Linked DNA regions of Anolis sagrei. The protein of the gene in region 1 interacts with the protein of each later gene in a pairwise test. Links are inferred from orthologs where the notes say so. Each region holds a gene or a part of one and is shown in the gene's direction. Other genes may lie near its edges.

Region 1 (3,951 bases):
GATCCTCAGAGCTCGGGATGCTTGTCTATTCTTAAGGTGTTGAACATGGATGGAGCAAGCACACTCCCCTGGGGCAGGCCATTCTTCTGTTTTTGCCATCTGCTTCTAGATGCAGCCAAGGGTCCAAATCCCCACTCAGGCAGAATTGATTTGGAATTAAAGACGGCCCGGAAGCTTCAGCTAGTCCAGCGCGCGGCAGCCATATTACTAACAGGAGCGGGACGCAGGGAGCACACAACGCCCTTGTTGTCCCAGCTCCACTGGCTGCCGATCTGCTCCCTGGCCCAATTCAAGGTGCTGGTGTTGGCCTACAAAGCCCTAAACGGTTCCGGCCCAAAATACCTGTCTGACCGCATCTCGGCCTACGAGCCCACGAGGACCTTGAGATCGTCTGGGGAGGCCCTCCTCTCGATCCCGCCCGCCTCACAGGCACGCCTGGCGGGGACGAGGGAGAGGGCCTTCTCGGTGGTGGCCCCCCGGCTGTGGAACACCCTCCCTGTAGATATCAGACAGGCGCCCTCCCTTATGACATTCCGCAAGAGACTAAAGACGTGGTTGTTTGAGAAGGCGTTTGACTAAGTGCTACAACAAATTAGCAATGATGATTGGAACGGAATATGGATAACGAGATTGGATTGTGATTCTACGATGAGACGTCGCGAATGACTTAGTGTAATTGTATTATTGATACCGATGTTGTTATTGTTGTTTATGATATTGCTTTTTTGTAAATTGTTTTTTATATGTTGTACACCGCCGTGAGTCGCCCTAGGGCTGAGAACGGCGGTCTACAAATGCAGTAAATAAATAAATAAATAAATAAATTAGGAATGGTGGGAGTTGGAGTCCAAAACACCTGGAGGGAGGGCCCAAGTTTGCCCATGCCTGATCTATTACTATATCACTGCCTCCTGGTCCTTTTTTCCTCCCCTCTGTGTTTTTGTCTGGATGCTCCCCTGCAGTGCCAGGCAGCCGCCCGCTAGATGGCGCGGCAGGGGCGGAGGTGAAGATGCCACAAAAGCGCAGGCGCGCCGGGCGTGACGTCGTCGCCGTGCGCGCCCCGGCTCTCTTTCTCAAAGATGGCGGCGCCCAGCCGGCTGCTGCAGGCGTTTGTGGCGGGCGCGCTGTGGCCCAGGCCCGGCCTCGGTGGGGGAAGCGCTTCTGCCGCTGCCGCTTCTTTGTGGCGGAGGGGCCTCTGCGAGCAGGCCTCCGGGGCAACAGCGGCGGATGAGAGCGACGGGGAGAGCGAGGGCGAGATGGGGCGCGTGGGTGAGCCGCAGGCCTGTAGTTGTCCTTGTGCATGATGGGGGGGGGGGGAGGGCCTCTCCGTCTCTTGCTTGGAAATAAGCCCCGGAATTGAGCCTCACGTAGAGAGAGAGAGAGAGAGATCAAGGGCATGCTGTATAGACCATATAGCCATTGTTGTTCATTCGTTCAGTCGTCTCCGACTCTTCGTGACCTCATGGACCAGCCCACGCCAGAGCTCCCTGTCGGCCGTCACCACCCCCAGCTCCTTCAAGGTCAGTCCAGTCACTTCAAGGATGCCATCCATCCATCTTGCCCTTGGTCGGCCCCTCTTCCTTTGGCCTTCCACTTTCCCCAGCATCATTGTCTTCTCTAGGCTTTGCTGTCTCCTCATGATGTGGCCTAAGGACTTCCGCTTTGTCTGTAGTATCCATCCCTCCAGTGAGCAGCCGGGCTTTACTTCCTGGAGGATGGACTGGTTGGATCTTCTCGCAGTCCAAGGCACTCTCAGCACTTTCCTCCAGCACCACAGCTCAAAAGCATCTCTCTTCCTTCGCTCAGCCTTCCCTAAGGTCCAGCTCTCACATCCGTAGGTGACTACAGGGAAGACCATGGCTTTGACTAGGCAAAGGATCCTTGTTGCCTGTCTGATGTCTCTACTCTTGACTGTTTTATCGAGATTGGACATTGCTCTCCTCCCAAGAAGGAAGTGTCTTCTGATTTCCCGGCCACAGTCTGCATCTGCACTCATCTTTGCACCTAGAAATACAAAGTCTGTCACGCCCTCCACGTTTTCTCCCTCTATTTCCCAGTTGTCAATCATTCACTTAACTAAAAGGCATGAATTTTGACTAGGCGGATCTTTGTTGCCAGTCTGATGTCTCTACTCTTCACTAGTTTATCGAGACTGGACATTGCTCTCCTCCCAAGAAGTAAGCGTCTTCCCGGCTACAGTCTGCGTCTAAAGTAATTTTTGCACCTAGAAATACAAAGTCTGTCACGGCCTCCACATTTTCTCCCTCTATTTTCCAGTTGTCAATCATTCTTGTTGCCATAATCTTGGTTTTTTTTATGTTTAGCTGCAACCCAGCTTTTGCGCTTTCTTCTTTCACCTTGATTAGAAGGTTCCTCAGCTCCTCCTCGCTTTCGGCCATCAGAGTGGTGTCATCTGCATATCTGAGGTTGTTAATGTTTCTTCCATATAGCCATACAGCCCGAAAAAACCTACAACAACCCACTAAGACATGGTTGTTTCAGCAAGCGTTTACAAATGTAGAGTAACTGACATAGGAAATGGAATCACCTGACAATGGAATCGGACAATGTTTTTAACTAGGAGACGCTAATGATGTTGGTTTTATTGTTTCGGTTGTGGTTTTATATTGTTTTTAATGTTTAATTTGTATGTGATAATAATAATAATAATAATAATAATAATAATAACCTACAAGAAGCACTGCCTGAACCAAAAAGTGGGTGGCAGAAACAATATACGAAAGCTGACTGGCACAACCGGGGAATCACAACCAGACACAGTGAAGACATCTGCCTTTGCGCTGTGCTACTCTGCTGCTGAGTACGCATGCCCAGTGTGGAACACATCTCACCACACTAAAACAGTGGATGTAGCTGTGAATGAGACATGCCACATTATCACAGGGTGTCTGCGCCCTACACCACTGGAGAAATTACACTGCTGGGAGAGGTCATCCCGAGTTTTGGACTTGGGTGCCATCTCTATGCAGATGACGCGCAACTCTACTACTCTTTTCCACCTAACTTCAAGGAAGCCCCTAGGGTGCTGGACGAGTGCCTGGCCACTGTGGCTATCTGGATGAGGAGGAACAAGCTGAGGATCACTCCCGACAAGACAGAGGTCCTCCTGGTCGATCGTAATCCGGATCGGGGTATAGGGTGGCAACCTGTGCTGGACGGGTTTGCACTCCCCCTGAAGTCACAGGTCTGCAGTCTGGGTGTCCTGGATTCATCACTTACGCTTGAAGCTCAGGGGTCGGCGGTGCCGCCAGACTCGTGTGCCAGCTGCGACCGTACCTCGTGAAGTCAGATCTGGCCAGGGTGGTCCATGCCTTAGTCACCTCCAGATTGGATTACTGTAATGCACTCTACGTGGGGCTGCTCTTGAAAATGGCCCAGAAATTTCAGTTGGTACAATGGGCGGCAGCCAGGTTGCTAACTGGTGCTTCTTACTGTTTATTGTTTATTTTTCTTTTGAGATTTATTTTACTGTTTTGTATTGATTATTTTGTTATTGCCTTTGTTTTATTAATGTACTGCGGGCTTGGCCTCATGTAAGCCGCACCATGTCCCTTGGGGAGATGGTAGCAGGGTACAAATAAAGTATTATTATTATTATTATATTCTGTTGAAATCTAGCTGAGCGTCTTAATTGCTGCACGGACCATCTCTGCTTACTGAAACTTCTTTTCCCATTCAAGGTCTCATTACCCTCATTAACTCCTGCACCTGGTAACTATTGTCAAGGAAGAACTATTTCACTTGCATATTCGCAGATGCACCAATTCTACAACAGTTTTATAAGATGGTCCATTGACCCATATTAGAAGTAGGCATATTGGGGGAAAACACGTGTGAACATGCACTTTGATTTAAACATCTGACCGCCTATTGTACAATATGAATGCTCTTTGTTGTGTTTATTTGCATGCTTTGTCTCTTTGGAATATC
Region 2 (3,600 bases), on another chromosome or scaffold:
AGAATTGGACACAATATTCCAGATGTGGTCTAACCAAGGCGGAACAGAGCATGGGGGGCATGACTTCCCTGGATCTAGATACTATGCTCCTATTGATGCAGGCCAAAATCTCATTGGCTTTTTTTGCCACCACATCACATTGTTGGCTTTTAAGTTCTTTGTCCCACCCCAGTCATTCCACAGATATATAAACCCAATTTTCCTAGTTCCAACAGACCTCACAACCTCTTAGGACGCTTGCCATAGATGCAGGCAAAATGTCAGGAGAGAATGCCTCTAGAACATGGCCATATAGCCCGAAAAAAACCTACAACAACCCATTCATTTTGTTAGTTTTGGCTCAGCTCTTTAATCTGTTAAGATCGTTTTTAATGTTTGTATGTTGTGGGTTTTAGATTGTAATTTGTATTGTCTTGAGTATAGTAAATCGCTTTGAAGTGGGGAGGGCGGTTTCTGAAGAGAACCACCGCTGCTTTCCTTTCCTAAAGAGAATCACTCTGAGGCTGAGAGGAGATATGATAGCCATGTATAAATATGTGAGAGGAAGCCACAGGGAGGAGGGAGCAAGCTTGTTTTCTGCTTCCTTGGAGACTAGGACGCAGAACAATGGCTTCAAACGACAAGAGAGGAGATTCCATCTGAACATGAGGAAGAACTTCCTGTGAGAGCCATTCAGCAGTGGAACTCTCTGCCCTGGAGTGTGGTGGAGGCTCCTTCTTTGGAGACTTTTAAAGAGAGGCTGGATGGCCATCTGTCAGGGGTGATTTGAATGCAACATTCCTGCTTCTTGGCAGGGGGTTGGACTGAACATGAGGAAGAACTTCCTGTGAGAGCCATTCAGCAGTGGAACTCTCTGCCCCGGAGTGTGGTGGAGGCTCCTTCTTTGGAGACTTTTAAACAGAGGCTGTATGGCCATCTGTCAGGGGTGATTTGAATGCAACATTCCTGCTTCTTGGCAGGGGGTTGGACTGAACATGAGGAAGAACTTCCTGTGAGAGCCATTCAGCAGTGGAACTCTCTGCCCCGGAGTGTGGTGGAGGCTCCTTCTTTGGAGACTTTTAAACAGAGGCTGTATGGCCATCTGTCAGGGGTGATTTGAATGCAACATTCCTGCTTCTTGGCAGGATGGCACATGAGGTCTCTTCCAACTCTTTGATTCTATGATTCCAACTTGAGTCTGAGAAACCAGTCACGCCTTTGCCCTCCTTTTATAGCCTTGTTCATAAACAAGCCCCGCCTCTTCCCAGTCTGTCAATCATTGACTTGGGCGGGAACTTAAAAAAAAAACTGCCCTCCTGGAAAGGGGGCGGGGCTCCTGCTCGCCCTCGCGCCCAACGGCCGTCGCTGCTCGGTACTACGCATGCGCAACGGGCGACACTCCCCTCCTTTTTTCCTTTCCTGTGTGTGGAAGGTTTCTTCCCCCTCCCGGCATGCCTTGCGCGGCAGAGGCGTTGACGTCACCGCCTCCCGCTCCTTGTCCGCCATTGGAGATCAGGGAAGAAGGGGGGAGGCGGGATTAGGAAACGACGAGAGAGGAATGTAAACCCGGGAAGAGGCCGAGGAGAGAAAGAATTGAAGAAGCGGAGGAGGTGGAGGAGGAGTAGCGGTTGCTTCTTCTTCTTGAGGCCTTGTCTGTGTGGAAGAGGAGCGATGTGAGAGGAGAGAGAGCGCGAGCGCACGAAGGAGCTACTGCGCCTGCGCGCGGCCTTCTCCCTCCTCTTCCCTCCTCCCTTTTTCCCTCCTCCTGGCTACGCGCATGCACCACCTCCCTCTTCCTCCCCACCAGCCACACACACTCCCTCCTCCCGGGATAAGCCCAAGGCGGGAGGGGGGGAAGCCCGCTCGCCCACCCACGAGGCGCCCCACTCCCACGCAAGGCCTCGCCCCCTCCTCCTCCTTCTCCTCCCCCTTCCCCCCTCTCCCTCCCCATATTTCGAGGCGCATGAGAGATGTCTGCCACCAGCGTTGACCCCCAGGTAAGTGGGTCGAGCTTGGAGGGGAGAGGAGTCTTGGAAATGTGTATTATTTGGGGGTGGGTGGTCTTCTCCTTCCAACAGGGCTTTGATTTTTTCTTCTCTTTCCTGCCTGGCCAAATAAGGTTGGGCTGCTTGGGCCTGCCACACAGCTGAATAAAACCCCACATTTTCTGCTTTGAACTGGGATATATGCCAGTGTGGACTCAGATATCCCATCAAAGCAGATATGGTGGGATTTTCCGCCTTGATATTCTGGGTTATAGGGCCCAGTGATATAACCCAGAAAATCCCACGATATCTCCTTTAAACTTGGTGGCCTTCCAGACAGGCCCAGTATCCCAGGATCTGATCCCATGTTATCTGTTCATCCCAGATTATCTGGCAGTGGTGGCTCATATAATCCAGTTCAAAGCAGAAAAATGTGGTATTTTATTCAGCTGTGTGGAAGAGGCCTCAGAATATCAAGGCAGAAAATCCCACGATATCCGCTTTAAACTTGGTGGCCTTCCAGACAGGCCCAGTATCCCAGGATCTGATTCCATGTTATCTGTTTATCCCAGATTATCTGGCAGTGTGACTCGTATAATCCAGTTTAAAGCAGAAAACCTGGGATCAGATCCTGGGATATAGAGCCTTTCAGGAAGGGCCCTGGGTTATATGAGGGCCCTTCCACACAGCCATATAACCCAGAATATCAAGGCAGAATAACCCAAAATATCTGCTTTGGACTGGGTTATCTGAATCCACACTGCTATATAATCCAGTTCAAAGCAGATAATGATGGATTTTATTTAGCTGTGTGGAAGGGGCCTAAAATGTATTGCAATGTGGATTCAGGGCCCTTCCACACAACCATATAATCCAGAATATCAAGGGACCCAATCCACCATATCTGTTTTGAATTGGGATATATGGCAGTGTGGACTCAGGTACCCCAGTTCAAAGCAGATGTTGTGAATTACCTGCCTTGATATTCTGGGTTATATGGCTGTGTTGAATGGATCCCAGTTATGTGAGTCCACACTACCATATAACCCAGTTCAGAGCAGATAATGTGGGATTGTATATAGCTGTGTGGAAGAGGCCTTTGATTATAGAGATGGAAGCAGCCACAAGGGCCCTCCAGTCCAACCCCGTGTGGAAAAATATCACCCAAACACTCCTGACCCAGCCTCTGCTTAAAAACCTCCTGGGAAGGAGACCCCACCAACCTCCTGGGAAGCACATTCGTAGGCCCCTTCTACACTGCCATACAATCCAGATTATCAAAGCAGATAATCCACATTTGCTTTGAACTGGATTATATGAGTCTACACTGCCATATAATCCAGTTCAAAGCAGATGTGGATTCTATATGGCAGTGTTGAAGGGTCCTTACTGTCAGGAAAACCTTCCTTATTTTTAGGTGGCATCTCCTTTCCTACAATTCCAATCCATTACTCAGTGAGAGTAGGACACAGGAGAAAACAAGTCTGTCTCTTTCTCCTCAATGTGACATGGCTTCAAATATTTAAACATGGTTCTCCTGTCCCCTCCCATGCCTGTTCTACATAGTTGAAAAAAATCCCACATTTTCTGCTTTGAACTGGAATATATGGCAGTGTGGACTCTGTGTTGATATTAT

Evidence for each region.
Region 2: the proteins of DHX30 (region 1) and YTHDF1 interact in a two-hybrid assay, tested with the Homo sapiens proteins (2 studies listed by BioGRID, with this or other methods). The link is inferred for Anolis sagrei from reciprocal best matches to the Homo sapiens genes DHX30 and YTHDF1.

Annotation. Positions count from the first base shown.
Region 1 is NC_090026.1:130,717,983-130,721,933, reverse strand, and holds the start of DHX30 (ATP-dependent RNA helicase DHX30), read left to right. Parts: upstream 1-1,062; 5' UTR 1,063-1,079; coding exon 1,080-1,269; intron 1,270-3,951.
Region 2 is NC_090024.1:235,215,828-235,219,427, reverse strand, and holds the start of YTHDF1 (YTH domain-containing family protein 1), read left to right. Parts: upstream 1-1,421; 5' UTR 1,422-1,949; coding exon 1,950-1,976; intron 1,977-3,600.